Linked DNA regions of Mus musculus. The protein of the gene in region 1 purifies or fractionates together with the protein of each later gene. This does not show direct contact. Links are inferred from orthologs where the notes say so. Each region holds a gene or a part of one and is shown in the gene's direction. Other genes may lie near its edges.

Evidence for each region.
Region 2: the proteins of Rab1a (region 1) and Gdi1 purify together in Homo sapiens (affinity purification with mass spectrometry; 7 studies listed by BioGRID and IntAct, counting the BioPlex papers as one, with this or other methods). This does not show direct contact. The link is inferred for Mus musculus from reciprocal best matches to the Homo sapiens genes RAB1A and GDI1.
Region 3: the proteins of Rab1a (region 1) and Gdi2 purify together in Homo sapiens (affinity purification with mass spectrometry; 6 studies listed by BioGRID and IntAct, counting the BioPlex papers as one, with this or other methods). This does not show direct contact. The link is inferred for Mus musculus from reciprocal best matches to the Homo sapiens genes RAB1A and GDI2.

What each region holds. Positions count from the first base shown.
Region 1 is NC_000077.6:20,220,280-20,226,709, forward strand, and holds part of Rab1a (ras-related protein Rab-1A), read left to right. Parts: exon of another isoform or gene 1-1,429; intron 1,430-2,587; exon of another isoform or gene 2,588-2,804; coding exon 2,805-2,900; intron 2,901-4,087; coding exon 4,088-4,219; intron 4,220-4,368; coding exon 4,369-4,566; 3' UTR 4,567-6,430. UniProt on the Homo sapiens protein: The small GTPases Rab are key regulators of intracellular membrane trafficking, from the formation of transport vesicles to their fusion with membranes.
Region 2 is NC_000086.7:74,308,482-74,313,589, forward strand, and holds the end of Gdi1 (rab GDP dissociation inhibitor alpha), read left to right. Parts: intron 1-594; coding exon 595-694; intron 695-1,481; coding exon 1,482-1,653; intron 1,654-1,908; coding exon 1,909-2,053; intron 2,054-2,156; coding exon 2,157-2,211; intron 2,212-2,305; coding exon 2,306-2,458; 3' UTR 2,459-3,386; downstream 3,387-5,108. Other genes in the region: protein FAM50A, read left to right, coding at 4,734-4,844. UniProt on the Homo sapiens protein: Regulates the GDP/GTP exchange reaction of most Rab proteins by inhibiting the dissociation of GDP from them, and the subsequent binding of GTP to them. Promotes the dissociation of GDP-bound Rab proteins from the membrane and inhibits their activation.
Region 3 is NC_000079.6:3,553,194-3,559,623, forward strand, and holds part of Gdi2 (rab GDP dissociation inhibitor beta), read left to right. Parts: intron 1-1,218; coding exon 1,219-1,353; intron 1,354-3,120; coding exon 3,121-3,319; intron 3,320-3,732; coding exon 3,733-3,864; intron 3,865-6,430. UniProt on the Homo sapiens protein: GDP-dissociation inhibitor preventing the GDP to GTP exchange of most Rab proteins. By keeping these small GTPases in their inactive GDP-bound form regulates intracellular membrane trafficking.

The sequences.
Region 1 (6,430 bases):
TATGGGTTAGTTTTGAGGATCACATGGCTCTTGCTATTTGTCTACCTTTATGACCTTGGAGACAGCAGATCAGTGGTTTCTGTGATATGCTATGTTGTGATACACTATTGTAGAAAAGACCCACTCAAGCCTGCAGCCTAGGTATCAATAGCATATGTGGTCATTAATCTCTACAGGATATTTGTATATTTGAAATATTTTAATTTTGTTACTTCCTTTGTCTGGAAAGGATCTTTCAGGTTACTCTCAGTTTCATCTTCAACAGGAATTTTCTTTTCTTATCTGGTGCTGTTACGTAATCATATTGAGGAAATTCACCATTTTCAAGGGTAGCTACTTTCAGTTTATCCATTCTTTTTTTTTTTTTTTTTTTTTTTTTTTGGTTTTTTAAGACAAGGTTTCTCTGTGTAGCCCTGGCTGTCCCGGAACTCACTTTGTAGACCAGGCTGGCCTCGAACTCAGAAATCCACCTGCCTCTGCCTCCCAAGTGCTGGGATTAAAGGCGTGCGCCACCATGCCCGGCTATCCATTCTTTATATTGGGCTGGAGCCAGTGTCCTTTAACTTCTATGGAATTTCTCTGCAGTTTGAAGCTGTATGAATCAGGTTAGTTATTGTTCTGCTGGCATCCAACTTTCATGTTGATGTGATTATACCCTTCTTCTTGCTCAGTTGATCATTCCTTTTTGGAGTTGTTTTTAGAAACTTTTAAATTCGGGTTAGTCTTGCATTTTCAAGTACCTTTTATAAAAAGGGATTCCTAAAATATAGTACAATACGTATGTGAGACAAACTTTTCTGAATTTCTTAAAAATTTTCTCCCTTTGGGTGTGAAGAGGTGGCTCTGTGCACTGGGGGGGGGTTTAATTTCCCAGCACTCATGCTGTACACACCATAATTTCAACCCCAATAAATCCCATGCCTTCTATATGCTTTTGTGGCTAACAGGCATGTACTTAGTGCACAGACATACATGCAGGCAAAGCACTCATACACATAAAAATAAAATAAAATTTCTCTCTTGGACTTCAGGGATTCAATGCTTATTGTTAATCTACCAAAGACTATAAAGGAATGGGTGAGTTTGCATTAACTACATCCCGAGTCGTCTGCACTTGAAGATTTAGGGTTGCTTGTCTTTAATTTGGGGGTTGTGTGTATAAAGGGTATAAATGGCTGCAGATATGGTCGGGTAGATAAAGTACTTGTAAATGTGAGGACCAGAATTCACCCATGAAAATGCTGTGTAGCTGTGGGGACCCACCTGCAATCCATGGAAGGCAGAGGCACTGGGTTACAGGAGCTCTGTATTCACCGAGAGATCTTGCCTCAGTAAGGTGGAGTGTAATCCAGGAAGACTTTAGCCTTAGGTCTCTATATACACATACTGTACATACACACAAAAAGAAAATGTGTCTGTCTCTCTCTCTCTGTGTGTGTGTGTGTGTGAGAGAGAGAGAGAGAGAGAGAGAGAGAGAGAGAGAGAGAGAGAGAGAGAGAATGAGAATATTCCATGAATTGGTGTTATAAAAATTTAAATGCAAAATTGTGTGTCTAGCCCATTGCATTTCAACTTGATGGGCTGTGTTTTTTTTTCTCCCAAGTACTCTTAAGTCTTTTCCTTTCATGTTTTTTTTTTTTTTTTTTTTTTTTTTTTTTTAAAGATTTATTTATTTATTACATGTAAGTACACTGTAGCTGTCTTCAGACACTCCAGAAGAGGGCGTCAGATCAGATCTTGTTACAGATGGTTGTGAGCCACCATGTGGTTGCTGGGATTTGAACTTCAGACCTTCGGAAGAGCAGTCGGGTGCTCTTACCCACTGAGCCATCTCACCAGCCCTTCCTTTCATGTTTTATTGTTTAGTCATGATGGCCAGGTCTTCACTGATTTTTATGTTTGAAAGAGGGTCTCTCACTATATAGCCCTAGTTGTCCTGGAACTTGCTGTATAGATAAGGACAGTCTTGAACCCACAGAGTTCCACCCCTGCTTTTGCCTCCTCAGTGCAGGGACTATAGGCACTAAACACCATATTTGGCCAGAGGACAACTTTTTATAGTTTCTTCCTTCTATCATGGGTTCTAGGGATTGACTTCTGGTTGTCAGGTTTGCATAGCTTTTGCTGGCCTATCTTGCTTGCTTTTCCCCATTAAAAAATATTTTTATTAAGTGAAGTGTATATGAATGCATGTGCCCAAAGAAACCAGAGGCACTGGGTGCCTTTGAAACTAGAGTTACAAGCATTGGTAAACCACTTAGTATGGGTCCTGGGAATTGAACTCAGGTTCTCTAGAAGACCAATATATCCTCTTAACCATTAAGCCATCTCTCCATGCCCCTTCTCCGCTTAGAAAAATGAGTTTTATTTTAAAGGTGTTTAGAAACATTTTCCTTACGTTATTTTTGCTGAGCCTGAGATAGCACCTCCTTGTTACCCTAGGGCATGGCCGAGCCTGGTCTGTGACAAATACTGCAGCCATGAAGTAAGCTCTGGGCTCTGGACTCTATATTTTTTACCAACAGCCTAGAATAGCCTAGCATAGCTTATGTTCTCAAAGAATTTAGAATTTTGGTATTAGTACTACCTGCTAAACCGTAGGCATTATCTTCTCTTCTGGATTTTTAACATATTTGATACCTGCAATGCAATTTAATAATGTAAGCATTAAATACTGCAATTTAATAATGTAAGCATTAAATACTGCTGGCATCTCAAATCCTAATAATCTACAATTTTCTCCTGTACTTTCTCCCAAGTATGTTTTAATGGAATTGTTTGCCTTCTCTGATTGTTTTCTATAGTGGGACACAGCAGGCCAGGAAAGATTTCGAACAATCACTTCCAGTTATTACAGAGGAGCCCATGGCATCATAGTTGTGTATGATGTGACAGATCAGGTAAGTTTCTAGAGAATGTTACATGTTACCAACAAAGTAGAAAGTAGTGTATGTGTGTGGATTTTGACACAATCTCACTGTGTAGTTCTGGCTGACCTGAACTCACTATGTGGTCAGGCTGCCCTTGAATGCTTTTGAACAGCCCTGAAACTTTTGACTAGAAATTTATTTTTACTAATCGAGAAATAAAAACAACTCATTTTCTTATAGCAAATGTTAAATCTGAACTATCTGAATTATATTGTTAATTTGGAGATAAATTAAGAGATTTACCATACAAGCAAAAGATAAGCGAATATGAATAGGGAAAGAAAATGCTACATTAGCATGATGTCATGTACCTTCAGCTACTTGGGAGGCTGAAACAGGAGCTCAGGAGATTGAGACCTGTCTAGGCAGCAGAGCAAAACCTCATCTCAGTAAAGCAAACACCCAAAGCAGGCATAACTGGTTAATTTTAAATATGTAATCTATTACCATAATTTGTTTGTTCTTCAAGACAAGTTTCCCTGTGATCTTGGCTGTTTATAGACAAACCTGACCTTGGGCTCAAAGATCTGCCTGCCTCTGTCCCCTAAGCACTGGAACTAAAGGCATTCACTACCATGCCCAGCATATTTTTATGTGAAAAAAACAAGGAAAATTGTCACCTGTTTTTTTATAAGATTTCTCTTCCGCATCCCACATCTTGTTTGTAGTGGGGTTTAAGATCAGGGCTTTCTGTATGCCCAGCAAATTGTCAGCACTGAGGTGCACCTAGGCCAAATAATAGTAGCGATACTGTTGTTTTTCATAACCAGTTTTTTGTTTGTTTGTTTTTGAGTCAGGATCTCACAGTGTAGTTCTGGCTGGCCTGGAGCTCAAGAGCTCAGTCTGTATCTGTCTCCCAAGTACTGGAATTAAAGCTGTGCCACTGCACCCAGCTTTTATTTATTTAACAGGATTTTACTGTTTCAGAAACTAGGTCTTGACAATATTTTAAAATTTCAATTTAAAATTGGGCTTGCCTGTCATTAAACTTCAACTGTTTCCCCTTCCAAATAAGCTCTTTTCACTTCAGGCCTTTGAGTCTTTCTTATCATTGACGGGGTCATTGACGGGGTGTATACCTCAAGTTAGTTGATTTCTTTCCTTAGTTAGAGCAGCAGTGGCCTCGAGCAACTGCATCACCATTCTTCTCTCCCTAGGAGTCCTTCAATAACGTTAAACAGTGGCTGCAGGAGATAGATCGCTACGCCAGTGAAAATGTCAACAAGTTGTTGGTAGGGAACAAATGTGACCTGACCACAAAGAAAGTAGTAGACTACACAACAGCAAAGGTATGTATGAGGTTTGACTTTGACACTGAATTTAATTATGGGGACTGCCTCACCCTGTAAAAGCCAGTGAGCTTAGTCCCCCATTCCCATTTCAGAAGACTAAGTCAGAAGGATTTTCCATTGTTCACTGTGCCTTATTATTCTCTCAGGAATTTGCAGATTCCCTTGGAATTCCATTTTTGGAAACCAGTGCTAAGAACGCAACGAATGTAGAACAGTCTTTCATGACGATGGCAGCTGAGATTAAAAAGCGAATGGGTCCTGGAGCTACAGCTGGTGGTGCCGAGAAGTCCAATGTTAAAATCCAGAGCACTCCAGTCAAGCAGTCAGGTGGAGGCTGCTGCTAAAATCTGCCTCCGTCCTTTTCTCACAGCAATGAATTCGCAATCTGAACCCAAGTGAAAAAACAAAATTGCCTGAATTGTACTGTATGTAGCTGCACTACAACAGATTCTTACCGTTTCCACAAGGTCAGAGATTGTAAATGGTCAATACTGACTTTTTTTTTTATTCCCTTGACTCAAGACCGCTAACTTCATTTTCAGAACTGTTTTAAACCTTTGTGTGCTGGTTTATAAAATAATGTGTGTAATCCTTGTTGCTTTCCTGATACCAGATCGTTTCCCGTGGTTGGTTAGAATATATTTTGTTTTGATGTTTATATTGGCATGTTTAGATGTTGGGTTTAGTCTTCTGAAGATGAAGTTCAGCCATTTTGTATCACACAGCACAACCAGTGTCTGTCAGTTTCCACGCATAAAGTTTAGTGAGACGTTATATGTAAGATCTGATTTGCTAGTTCTTCCTGGTAGAGTTATAAATGGAAAGATTACACTATCTGATTAATAGTTTCTTCATACTCTGCATATAATTTGTGGCTGCAGAATATTGTAATTTGTTGCACACTATGTAACAAAACTGAAGATATGTTTAATAAATATTGTACTTATTGGAAGTAATATCAAACTGTATGGTGATAAGTATTGTTTTAATTCCTATGATTAAAGGGAAATAGAGCTTTGCATTCTACTCAGCAGCCACGTGTGTGCAGCAAGGGCACTGTAGACCTATCTTAATAGCACAGCATCCAGGGTTTGCTTTCTAGTAATAGGTCTGATGAGTGACCTAGAGAAGCTTTTGTGCTGTGTAGAGACTTCACCACCTTCATTGGTTCAAGGAACTCAAACTCTAGTGCTTCATCTCCAGCCCAGGCCACCTGAAGTGGCTTCACCAGCAACCCTTTTTTCCCTCATCTGTGGTAGAGATGGAGAGCAGCCCATGCTTCCTCCCAGGCAGTGATCTGGTAATAGTGCTGGTGTTTCTTCATGCTCAGTCTGATGGCGCACACACCTTTTTCTTTCTTTTTTCTTTTTGGCTATTGGAGATAGGGTTTCTCTGTGTATCCCTGGCTGTCCTGGAACTCTCTCTGTAGACCAGGCTGGCCTCGAACTCAGGGATCCACCTAGCTCTGTCTCTGAGTGCTGAGACTGAAGGTGTGCGCCGCCACGCCTGGCTTTTTTCCCCTTTCTTTTTTGAGACAGGGTCTTACTATGTAGCCCTGGCTAGCCTGGAACTTAAGTATGTACAACAGGCTGCCTCCCCCTCCCCCATTCACCTGCCTTTTCCTCAAAAGTGCTGGGATTAAATGATGTCCCAGACTGCACCTATTTTTTGAGACAATGTCTCATATAGCTCAAGAGGCCTCAAATTCACTTGTAACCAAGGATGCCCTTGAACTCCTGATCCTCCTGCCTCCACTTCCAGGTGTCAACTTTATTCTTTCCAATTGTATGAATCATGTTGGTGGAGAGTTTAAGCATTAGAATAGAAAGCAGGAAATGTGATTGCCCTAATTGTAGAAATTCTATCTCCCCCCCCCCCCAAATTAAATGAAAACATGAACGCTAGATGGGAATGATGGGAGAAATAATATATTTATTTCGGTGAAATTTTGCATGTGTGAAAGTTTGTTAACTAGGATCTTCGAAATCCTAGACTTTGCTTTTGTCTTACTGTGGGAAACAAAGTCTCTTGCAGACACTAGCATTTTAAGGTGACAAAGGTCAGAGATTGTTTCCTTTGGTTTAAGGAGCAGCCAAGCATTCTTCAATTGGGGGCTAGGGTAGGGTATGGCTGTTGATAACACATTTTATCATGGGGTCTTTAATGATAAAATATTAAACTAAAAATAAGCCAGAAATTACAGGTTTA
Region 2 (5,108 bases), on another chromosome or scaffold:
CAGGTTCAGTTCCAATGTGAACATACATGGTAGTTCACAACCACCCATAACTCCAGTTTTAGGGAATCCAAAACCTTCATCTGGCCTCCACAAGCATCAGGCATACATGTGGTGTACAGACATACATGTAAATAAAACACACATATGAATAAATAAATATAAAAATTTATTTAAAAAATAGATGAAATACAAAGTAAAGGACTAGGTCACCATGAACATAGCTTCCCTTAGCTCTTGGTAGTACCAGGTCTAAGTCTAGGACCCCAGAACCTTGAGTCTGGGCTTCCCTGGGAGCTGGCTCTTTTACTGACAGTTCTTTATTCTTGACTCCTGGGCCATTTCTGTGTGGAGCTACTCCTTCATGCTGCCTTCCATTGACCCATTTGCAGAACAGAGTATTATGGATGGAAACAGCAGAGAAGAAGGAATATGCCAAAAATGGGCCCAAATTTATGGGGGAGACACCTGAAACAGTTGGAATTGAACTCTGTCTACCTGTGTAGTTTCTTTACCCCACTGGTGGGGTGGGGAGAGTAGAGTAGGATCGGTCACCATTCTCCTGAGAAGACTCCCTTGTCATTTTCCTTACTATAGATTGAGTGCCATCTATGGGGGAACATACATGCTGAACAAACCAGTGGATGACATCATCATGGAAAATGGCAAGGTGGTGGGTGTCAAATCTGAGGGAGAGGTAAGCCTGCCATATACATTTGTATTACCGTGGTTTGGTCTTTTTCAGGGCTATGTTCTTAGGGAGCCTTATTACTGGTGAGTTTGCTGCTGCTTAACCCTGAGAAGCTTACAGCTAGGGACTGGGTGGTCAGGGAAACTCTACATAGTTATTCCTGTTGGCAAGAAATACCCTTCAAAATGCCAGGTGTAATGGCACACAGCTGTTTTCCAGTACTTGGGAGCCAAGGCAGATGAATATAAATCAATCAAGAAGTATCCTTCAGAAGTCACATATTTTGTATTCCTGAAAGTATTCTTTTGGAAAGGGTGCCCTGTACCCCGGGCTGGCGTCAGATGTTGAATGTAGCTGAGGATGAACTTTTAATCCTTGTGCTTCCACCTTCTTGATGCTGGATTACAGGTGTGTGTCAAGAGACCTGCTTTATGCATTGCGGGAATCTAACCTGGGGCTTTATGCATAACAGGCAAGCACTCTACCAACTGAGATAACATGCCTCCCCCCAACCATCCTTCAGCCTGCTGTGGTGGGGCATGAGAATTGAGGCTGCTAGTGAAGAAGATCCTGAGGTTGAGATTAGTTTGGGTCAAACAGTCTCAAATAAAAACTCCAGCAGCAGAAAAAAAAAAGCCCATTTTTGTGATCATTGTGTTTTAGCAGTAGGGTCACCTAGCCCTGTATATGAGGGCTGATCTCTCTGAGCTTCAAAGAAAGGGACAGTGATGACAGCTCAGAGCTGCCTGGCTTGCCTTTCCAACAGGTACAAACCCTTCTGGTACCTTCACAGGTGGCCCGCTGCAAGCAGCTGATCTGTGATCCCAGTTACATCCCAGACCGTGTGCAAAAGGCTGGCCAGGTTATTCGCATCATCTGTATCCTCAGCCACCCCATCAAGAATACCAATGATGCCAATTCCTGCCAAATTATCATCCCTCAGAACCAGGTCAACAGGAAGTCAGGTAGGCCAGGCTGTTATGCATCTCTTCTCACAAGAAATCTTAGGGCTTCTTGTGACATTTTGTTACAGAATCCCTGCGGCTTGGATGGCTTGAGCTCTTACCTTGTTCATGAAAATGACAGTTTGAATGCTGTTTACATGTTGGGTTGGGAGCAGGAGCATGTGGGCCAGATTCCTGTCTAGCCTCTAGGAACTACTTTTTGTGTGTGGCCATTTTCCTCTGGTACATGTTAACCAATTGGCTTCCCATGGTCAGACATCTATGTGTGCATGATCTCCTATGCGCACAACGTGGCCGCACAGGGCAAATACATCGCCATTGCCAGCACCACTGTAGAGACTGCAGAACCAGAAAAGGAAGTTGAGCCTGCATTGGAGCTGTTGGAACCCATTGACCAGAAGTGAGAGGCTGAACCAAACTTTATGGGGAGGTTGGGGATTAGGAATGGGCAAGGCCCATTATGAGACTTTTCTCTTCTTTCTTTTCTTTTATTTGCCCCTTAGGTTTGTGGCTATCAGTGATTTATATGAGCCCATTGATGATGGTTCAGAGAGTCAGGTAAAAATGCTGTCCCAGTCAGCCTTGGTTCTTGCAGTCTATCCAAGATCCTCTGCCTGACTTCCGTGAGCCCTGGGGTTCTGTCTATTTACAGGTGTTCTGTTCCTGCTCCTATGATGCTACCACACACTTTGAGACAACCTGCAATGACATCAAAGATATCTACAAACGCATGGCTGGTTCTGCCTTTGATTTTGAGAACATGAAGCGCAAACAGAATGATGTCTTTGGAGAAGCTGATCAGTGATTGCTGACTCCCCTCCTCCAGCCCCTGTTCCCCTCTCCCCAACTTGTATGTCCTTCTCTAGGGCAGGGGAGATGGTATGGCTAGGCATCCTTGTTTCCAGCATCTTCTGCTTCCCCTACCACATTCCAATCACCCACCTTATTGATTTTATTCACTGACCATATCCTTAACCTTAGGGATGGTTTGGGAGATGGGAGTTGGATAGTATCCTCTTTCTTGGTCTGTCCTTGTTCTAGGGAAAGAGAACTTTGTGTGTGTGTGTGTGTGTGTGTGTGTGTGTGTGCGCGCGCGCGTGCGTGTGTGTACGTGTGTGTACGTACGTGTGTGTGCGTGTGTACATGTGTGTGCATGTGTGTGTGCATCGTGCACCCCCAATTTTGCTGTTTGGGAAGGAGTGGAGGAAAAGCTGACCCCCACCCCCACTGCTCTTAGTCCCAAATGTAGTGGCCTTTGGAGATACCCATCTCCTCCCCCAACTCTTAGGTGTTGGAGAGAAGGGACCCTCCCAGCACAAAATTGCATTCCTCCTCCTCCTCCTCCTCCTTATAATTTATTCTAATTTATTAACTTTGGAGTAATTGTCTGAGCCCTCAGCCTTTCTGTGCAGCCTAGGGCTGTAGAGTGAGCTGCCCTGGCCTCTCCCAGTGCTGGCAAAGCCTGGGATGGGAGAAGATTTAGGTGTGACCCCCTCTGGAGGTTGATCTGTTTTGAATTTCTTTTGTGTTGTGTTCACTGAGAAAAAGTAATGTGAGCAAAGCAGAAGGAGGTAGGAAAGTGGATCCAAACCCCAGTGTACCCTGCCCCATGCCTTTTCCTTTAGTGGTGGGAAACCCTTACCTTGCAAAGTGAATGTGTCCCCTTCCCCAAGCTCTAGTATATTTCACAGAAAACAAAAACCTCCCAATAAAACTATTGAAACTTAAGCCTGGCTCTTTAGGTTCTCTGCTTTAAGGCTGTTTTGCAGGACTGGGGCAATTTAGCTTCTGGACTAGAACTGTATCCGCAAGGATCAAGGCAGGTGAAGTAGGTCATCTGGTGTTGGACGGGTCATCATTTACTAGTGGTTTCCAAATCAGAAGTCAGTGTGGAGGTTTTGGGTTCAAGGCTATACTGACCTCTCCGAAGCAGAATAGCACAGGTGAGATGGTTCAATGCATAAAGATATTTTCTATGTGACCCTGAGTTTGATCTTTGGAGCCCATGTAAAGGTGGAAGGAGAAAACTGATTCCACAATATGACCTCTGCACATGTTCAGTGGCTTGTGCACAACATGTAAACAAACACATTTAAATTTTTATGTGTATGGCTATTTTGCCTAGGTGGGTGTGCACAACTTGCATATCTGCTGCCTGCAGAAGCCAGTATCTCCAGGAATTGGAGTTACAGTCAGTTGTGAGCTATTTGAATGCTGGGGATCGATTCTGGGTACTCACCATTGCCTGAGCCATCTCCTCTGCCTCACACAAATTTTTAAAGGAGAGGTATCAGGAGTCTCAGTCCTGGGGGAGCAAAGGGACCTGGACCTAGCCTTGGATGATAGCTAAAAAAATTCAGCTGGGCAGGGGTGGCACACACCTTTAATGCCAGCACTTGGGAGGCAGAGAACAGGCCAATTTCTGAGTTTGAGGCCAGCCTGGTCTACAGAGTGAGTTCCAGGACAGTCAGCTACACAGAGAAACCCTGTCTCGGAAAAAACAACAACAAAAAAATCCAAGCAACCAAATGTGTCAGTGTGTGACCAAGCAGGAGGAAAAACAGCCTCCGTGGGAAGGGGTACACCTGACTGAGACATGGCTCTCAGTTCCATCATCCAAGTTGGGAGCAGCGCGCTCAGCCTTGGGACTAACAGAAAGAAGTTAGGAGGAATGGAGGGCCAGCTTAAGATAGCATTTAACTTTGAGGGTGTACAGGAAGCTAGAGGACCCAGCTCCATGTCACAAGGAACCAGCAGAAAGAACTGGTGATTTCGCATTGGGTATGGGATGAACTCGTCCGGCCTCCTGTGAGGCGGGGCGAGGTGCGATCACGTGTCAGAGCCGCGGGCGTAGGGCAGGGCCTGCGTCCGCACGTTCCCTGGTGGCTGACGTCACGCATCAGCTGACTAAATTGCCGCCGCCACTGCCGTCGCCGTCGCCTCCACGACTTCTCCAAGCAAAAGTCACTGTTGCCGCTGTCGTCGCTGCCAACGCCGCCGCTGCCGCTGCCGCTGCCGCTGCCGCTGCCGCTGCCTCCGCTGAAACCGCCACTGCCTTCGCTGAAACCGCTGCTGCCACCATGGCCCAGTACAAGGGCGCTGCAAGCGAGGCGGGACGCGCCATGCACCTAATGAAGAAGAGGGAGAAGCAGCGTGAGCAAATGGAGCAGATGAAGCAGAGGATTGCAGAGGTGTGGGCCAGGCCGGGGCACCTCAGAGCTTGCGCTCCGCGCGGACCCCCTGGCGGTCTCCTGCCACTCGTCTCTGGGAGACCTCAACAGTGGGCTATGAGTGCCCGGAGGGCGGGCCCCGCGTTGGTGGCGAGACTTGCTGTGCATCTCTAGTAACAGAAGTCAGCCGAGACAGTCTAATCTATAAAATGGGCTCAGTGTTGGTCCATGTCAGAGATGGGGAGCACACTGATGTTGGGTGAGACTCCTTGGCACTCCTCCTGA
Region 3 (6,430 bases), on another chromosome or scaffold:
AGGCTTGTCATTTGGCACTCATACCATATATTGTTAACCATTTTGACTTGACTTTTTATTCTGTTGAGTTCATATGCTTGGTCGCAGTGGTTTTGAGATGGTTTTTGCTAGCCTAGGCAGCATGGAGCATGGGCCTTCTTCCTCAGCCTTCTGACTTGGGTTGCCTGGCAGGCCATGGTGAGCTATATTCAATTTGTAATCATGAGTCCTAATATTGGAGCCAGACAAGTGTTCACGTACTTAAACTCTGCTGCATGAGTATATCTTCAAACTCTTCTCTTTTTTTCTTTTTGATTTTTTTGAGACAGGATTTCTCTGTGTAGCCCTGGCTGTCCTGGAACGCACTTTGTAGACCAGGCTGGCTTCGAACTCAGAAATCTACCTGCCTCTGCCTCCCGAGTGCTGGGATTAAAGGCTTGCACCACCATGCCCAGCTTCAAACTCTTTATTTCTTAAAATTTTTTTTTTTTTTAAGTTTTGGAGTTTGAATATAGTGTCTCATAAATGATAGACTCTTCCATTGAGTTATGTCTCCAGCCCTAACTTAAAAAAAGATGTTGTAATTATCCTTTCAGATAAGCATTAAAATGGTTTTGGTCTCAAAAGCTTTTGATGATTGGCATAGGAGCTAACAGATAGGTGATACTCCTAAATGTAGTTCTTCATCTGTCTGATGTCAATATTTTCTAATAAATATAGGTTGATTTTGAAATATTTGAGCCGGCGTGGTGGCGCACGCCTTTAATCCCAGCACTCGGGAGGCAGAGGCAGGCAGATTTCTGAGTTCGAAGCCAGCCTGGTCTACAAAGTGAGTTCCAGGACAGCCAGGGCTATACAGAGAAACCCTGTCTCGAAAAACTTTAAAAAAAAAAAAATTGAAATATTTGGAATTGTCTGTGTCTGATGTAGAACAGAGGGGCAAAGTTGCCTGAATTCACTTGTAGTAAAGCAGACCTCTTCTCACTGCCAGTTCACATTTCATGGTCTTTGCACAGCCAAGTCGATGAGATTCATTAGCCTACAAGTTGTAGCACTGACCTTCAGCGTGTATGTAAGGTATGTATTTTAGCGGCACCACCTAAAATGAGGCATTGCAAGTTTCTGGTAAGACCTGCTATACAGTGTTAGGACAAAGTTGGGAGTCTTTAATGGCAAGCTTTGCTTCTTTTTAAAGGTAGTAAGGTTTGAGTGACAGTTTGCATTATGTGGCTTTTCAAGGTCAGTTGGTGAAGATGCTGCTTTTCACAGAGGTCACTCGTTACATGGACTTCAAAGTGATTGAGGGAAGCTTTGTCTACAAGGGAGGGAAAATCTACAAGGTTCCTTCCACTGAAGCAGAAGCCCTGGCATCTAGTAAGTAATTCTCATTTTATTTAACACAATGATGAGATTTTTCTGGTGAAAAGGAATCACAGACATCCATTTATCTAGTCACAAATACTTACCAATTATGTACCAGTTAACTTTAATGTCTGTTCCGTTTAGAAGAGGATGGGAAAGGATATAAAACTAGGAGTTTTCTTATCTTTATCTTTCTTCCAGCTGTGTGTTAGTAGGAACACTGACTCAGAGAGAAAGCTTAGGGTTTGCATATATTGCCCTGTCTCTCTCAGCCTCTCTGTGTACATCATACACATTATTTTTTAGACAAGGTTTTAGGATGTAGCTCTGCTAGACCAGGTTGGCTGAAAACTCACAGAGATCCACCTGCCTTTACATTCAAGTGCTGAAATTAAAGATTTTTTTTTTTAAGTTTTGTTTCATTATTTGCCTGTATATATGTGTGTGCACCACATGTGTGCCTAGTGCCCATGGAGGCCAGAAGGAGGCATTAGATCTCATCAGCCTGGGGTTACAAATGGTTGTGAGTGACCATGTGAGTGTTGTTAACTGAACCTGGATCTTCTGCAAGAGCAGCAAGTGCTCCTAACTGCTGAGCTCTTACACACGTTCGCGCGACCGGCCAGGAAAGACGCAACAAACCGGAATCTTCTGCGGCAAAAGCTTTATTGCTTACTTCTTCAGGAGCAAGCGAGAGAATGGCGAAACCCCGTCCCTTTTAAGGAGAATTATCCTCCGCCTAGGACTTGTCACTCCCTGATTGGCTGCAGCCCATTGGCCGAGTTGTCGTCATGGGGAAGGCAGAGCACATGGAGTGGAAAACTACCCTTGGCACATGCGCAGATTATTTGTTTACCACTTAGAACACAGGATGTCAGCGTCATCTTGCAACGGCGAATGTGAGGGCGGCTCCCCACACTGAGCCATCTCTCTAGGCTGTGTAGAGCAGTGCACTGATTGTTTAAGATTTCATTAAAGTAAGTGACATACAGTGCAGTCACTAAATAAGTTGTGGCTAATTCTTCCTTGGTGTCTTGGTCTTTTCCCATGAGGTCTAAGTGTGTTGTAGCATTCGGAAGAAAGAAAGCAACATTCATAATTTTGGGAACTGGCTGAGTTACAGATAAGCATCATAGAGGAAGAACATTGGTATAGATGCCTTTGGAGCAATTTTTTTCAGTGTTACTTATTTTGTGCCTGATAAGATACAGAATTCAGGCTGGTAAGATGGCTCAGCGGTTAAGAGCACTGACTGCTCTTCCAAAGGTCCTGAGTTCAAATCCCAGCAACCACATGGTGGCTCACAACCACCCGTGATGAGATCTTCCGCCCTCTTCTGGTTTGTCTGAAGACAGCTACAATGTACTTATGTATAATAATAAACCTTTGGGCTGAAGCGAGAAGGGACTTGAGCAAGCAAAGTTGACTGGAGCGAGTGGACTTGACCGGAGCAAGTAGAGAGAGGTCCTAAAAATTCAATTCCCAACAACCACATGAAGGCTTACAACCATCTGTACAGCTACAGTGTACTCACATGCATAAAATAAATAAATAAATCTTTAAAAAAAAAAAAGATACAGAATTCAACTCTGAAACTATGTACCATTTACTGAGGTTCTGCTGTGCAATTGAGTGCTGTGAATGATCTGTTTAGAGAGTTGTGCAACTAGAGTCCAGGTTTTGTCATGTTGAGTCATGACATTGGTGTTTAAAGTGCCTCCACAGTCTTACTTTCTCAGTGTCTTATTCCATGTGCTTTTTGGAAAAAATATTTTTCAGGCTTAATGGGACTGTTTGAGAAACGCCGTTTCAGGAAGTTCCTGGTTTATGTTGCCAACTTTGATGAAAAAGATCCTAGAACTTTCGAGGGTGTTGATCCTAAGAAGACCTCCATGAGAGATGTGTATAAGAAGTTTGATTTGGGCCAAGATGTTATAGACTTTACTGGCCATTCTCTTGCACTGTACAGAACAGATGAGTAAGTAGGCTAATGGCTCTCATCACCTAGCTGTGCAGAGGCTGTGAGCTATTGTCTAGCAGTGCTAGGAGGTGTCTTCCTGCATGTGGCTTTAGGCAACTTTACAGTTCCTGTATTAGATCAGATATTTATTAGAGAGTATCAACAGCAGAAAAAAGGGTGAGGATTCCAGTCAGGAATGTTTGGTTTTCAGATCTGTGTTTTTCTTTAAACTTTGAACTCTGAGACTGTTAAGTGTGAAACTTAGGACTTGTATGTTGCTGTCTGGCCCTGGGAAAGAGGGTCTATTTGCAAATGAGTCTAAGACTGTTTTAATTAGGGGATAGTCCTTTGAGATTACTGCAGGAAAAAGAGTTTAAAATCAATAAGAAGTAGTGTTTTTCTAATGTTCATTTGCTTTTTTTTTTTCCCAGCTACTTAGATCAGCCGTGTTGTGAAACCATTAATAGAATTAAACTTTACAGCGAGTCTTTGGCAAGATACGGTAAAAGCCCGTACCTGTATCCGCTTTATGGTCTTGGAGAATTGCCGCAAGGATTTGCAAGGTGAGTACCTATTTTACCCATTAGCCCTGAAGACCTTAGATTTCATCCTGACTGGTGAAGGCAAAAAATGTCTCTCAATAATGAAATGCTATTTGCTTGTTTTCTATTTTTGAGATTTTTTATTCTTATTAAAATTAAATAAATTTATGCATAATAAACACAAAGCTTCAGTTAAGTGAAATATAGTTTGAAAAGTATATAGACTTTATAGACGTGTATCATCAAAAATGGTTTCCAGCCGGGCGTGGTGGCACACACCTTTAATCCCAGCAATTAGGAGGTAGAGGCAGGCGGATTTCTGAGTTCGAGGCCAGCCTGGGCTGGTTCCAGGACAGCCAGGGCTACCCAGAGAAACCCTGTCTCGAAAAACAAAAACAAGACAAACAAACAAAAAACATGGTTTCCTCCCCCACAAAGTTACCTTAGGTCAATCGTAACTAGTCCCCTTCCACATAGAAAACTACATTCTCTGCTCATTCGCCTCTGTGGCTTCTTTTTGCTTAGCAGTGTTGATGAGATGGCTTTAGGTTGATGCATGAGCTGAGGACCCACCTATATTGAGAGTCACGATACTGTGTAGATTACATGGTTATACCACACTCCTTGCTTGCGATGTCTAGGTTTCCAGTTGGGAGCTATTATAAATGAAGTTTTTATGAGAGTTCTGTGTACAGATAATATTGCTGACTGATGTTGAAAGTAAGATTTTAAAAGTAATAAGCCACTGCTTTTCTGAGCACTTGGGCCATTTTTATACACACAACACTGGGAATTTTATTTATTCCATACTTATTTGGTACTGTTTATTGGCATTAAGGTTATATTTATTAATATATGTGTGTGTGGGTGTACGTGTGGGATGGACATGGGTTCTTCCCTACGTAGTGGGTCCTGTGACTTGAACTTGATATCAGGTATATATAGTAAGTGTCTTTATCAATTTTCTTTTTTAATTAAAAGGTTTTTGTTGTTGTTTTTGTTTGTTTGTTTTTGAATTTTTGAGACAAAAGTCTTTCTATGTGGCCCTGGCTATCATGGAACTTACTTTGTTGATCAGAGTGGATTTGAGATACATTTTCCTCTGTCTATCATGGTCTAGAATTTAAAGCCTGGGTTACAGAGCTCAGTTTTATCTTTACCTTTTTTGTTTTTGGGTTTTGTTTTTTGTTTTTGCTTTGGTTTTTTTTGGTTTTTTTTGTTTTTTTTTTTTCCGAGAAAGGGTTTCTCTGTGTAGCCCTGGCTGTCCTGGAACTCACTCTGTAGACCAGGCTGGCCTTGAACTCAGAAATCCACCTGCCTCTGCCTCCTGAGTGCTGGGATTAAAGGCGTGCGCCACCAAGCCTGGTTTATCTTTACTTTTAATCTATGTTTTTGCCAGCAGTGGATATTGAACCTATGTTCAATTTCCCAGCTGAGCCATCTCACAGGCTCTATAGCTTGATTTTGCATGTCTAGAAAACTAATCTTTATCACCTTTTCATGAGCCATTTGTAATTTTGTGTTGTGATTGTCCAAGTCTTTTGCCTAGTTTTAAAGATTTGGGTAGTTTTTTGTTTTTGTTTTGGGGGTCATCTTGATGTTCCAATCTTTTGTCAGACCCGACGTACTACAAGTATTTTCTTCCAGTTGGTGGCTTGCCTTTTATAAGAAGTTTTACATTTTGTAAAGCTCACTATGTCAAACTTATTTTACATGTGTTTTGAGAACTATGAAATCTTTGGGTAGCCCAAGGACACAAAAGGCTGCTTACAACAGTTTTGCCTTTTCATGTAACTGTAACTGTTCTCATTCACTTTGAATGAGTTGATGCATAAGTGTTGGAGGGCTTGGGCCTCTCCCCAGGGCCCTGGGATGTAGTTATTCTAGCTGTGTTTGTGTGTGTGTGTGTGTGTGTGTGTGTGTGTGTGTGTGTAGCTGTGGGTTTTTCTCTTCTGTCAGTGATCTGGCTTTCCAGTTTTCTTCAGTTTTTGACAGTCTTGCTCTTTGATTATTTAGATTACTTTTAAAAGAGCCAAAATCAGAATTTTAGGTCATGATTTCTTTGGCTACTTGGTCACAGTTTGCTCACATGAGCAGTAATCTCTCATGTGCGGTCCTTGGAGTTAACCGTGTTTCCTGAGGTTGGATGATGTATTTTCATTTGTCATAAATTTCATCACGTTTTTGGGTCCCCCTTTTTTTATATAATACTGGGAATTGATCCCAGGGCTTTACTATAGGTTACGCAAGATTTCTACCATTGACTTATTCCCTTTCTGTGTGGTTCTTTTTTATATGAAAGAAAAAAGAGCTGCTTTCCTCTTGTGTTCCCAGTAATCTCTCCTGGGTTTTCCTTGCCCATTCAGTCCTCCTCTCCCACAGAGACCACATTCTACTTTGATATGGCACACATGTACATTTTTTATCTATTAATATGTCACATTATGTATGAAATATATGTATGCACATCTAAGTCCTCTGTTTGATAACTGTGATTTAAGTCTCTATTTTGCTTAACATGATTTTCAGATCTCTTTTTATACTGATACTTACATTTTTATCTACAATCTGTCACCCTTTTTTGCCT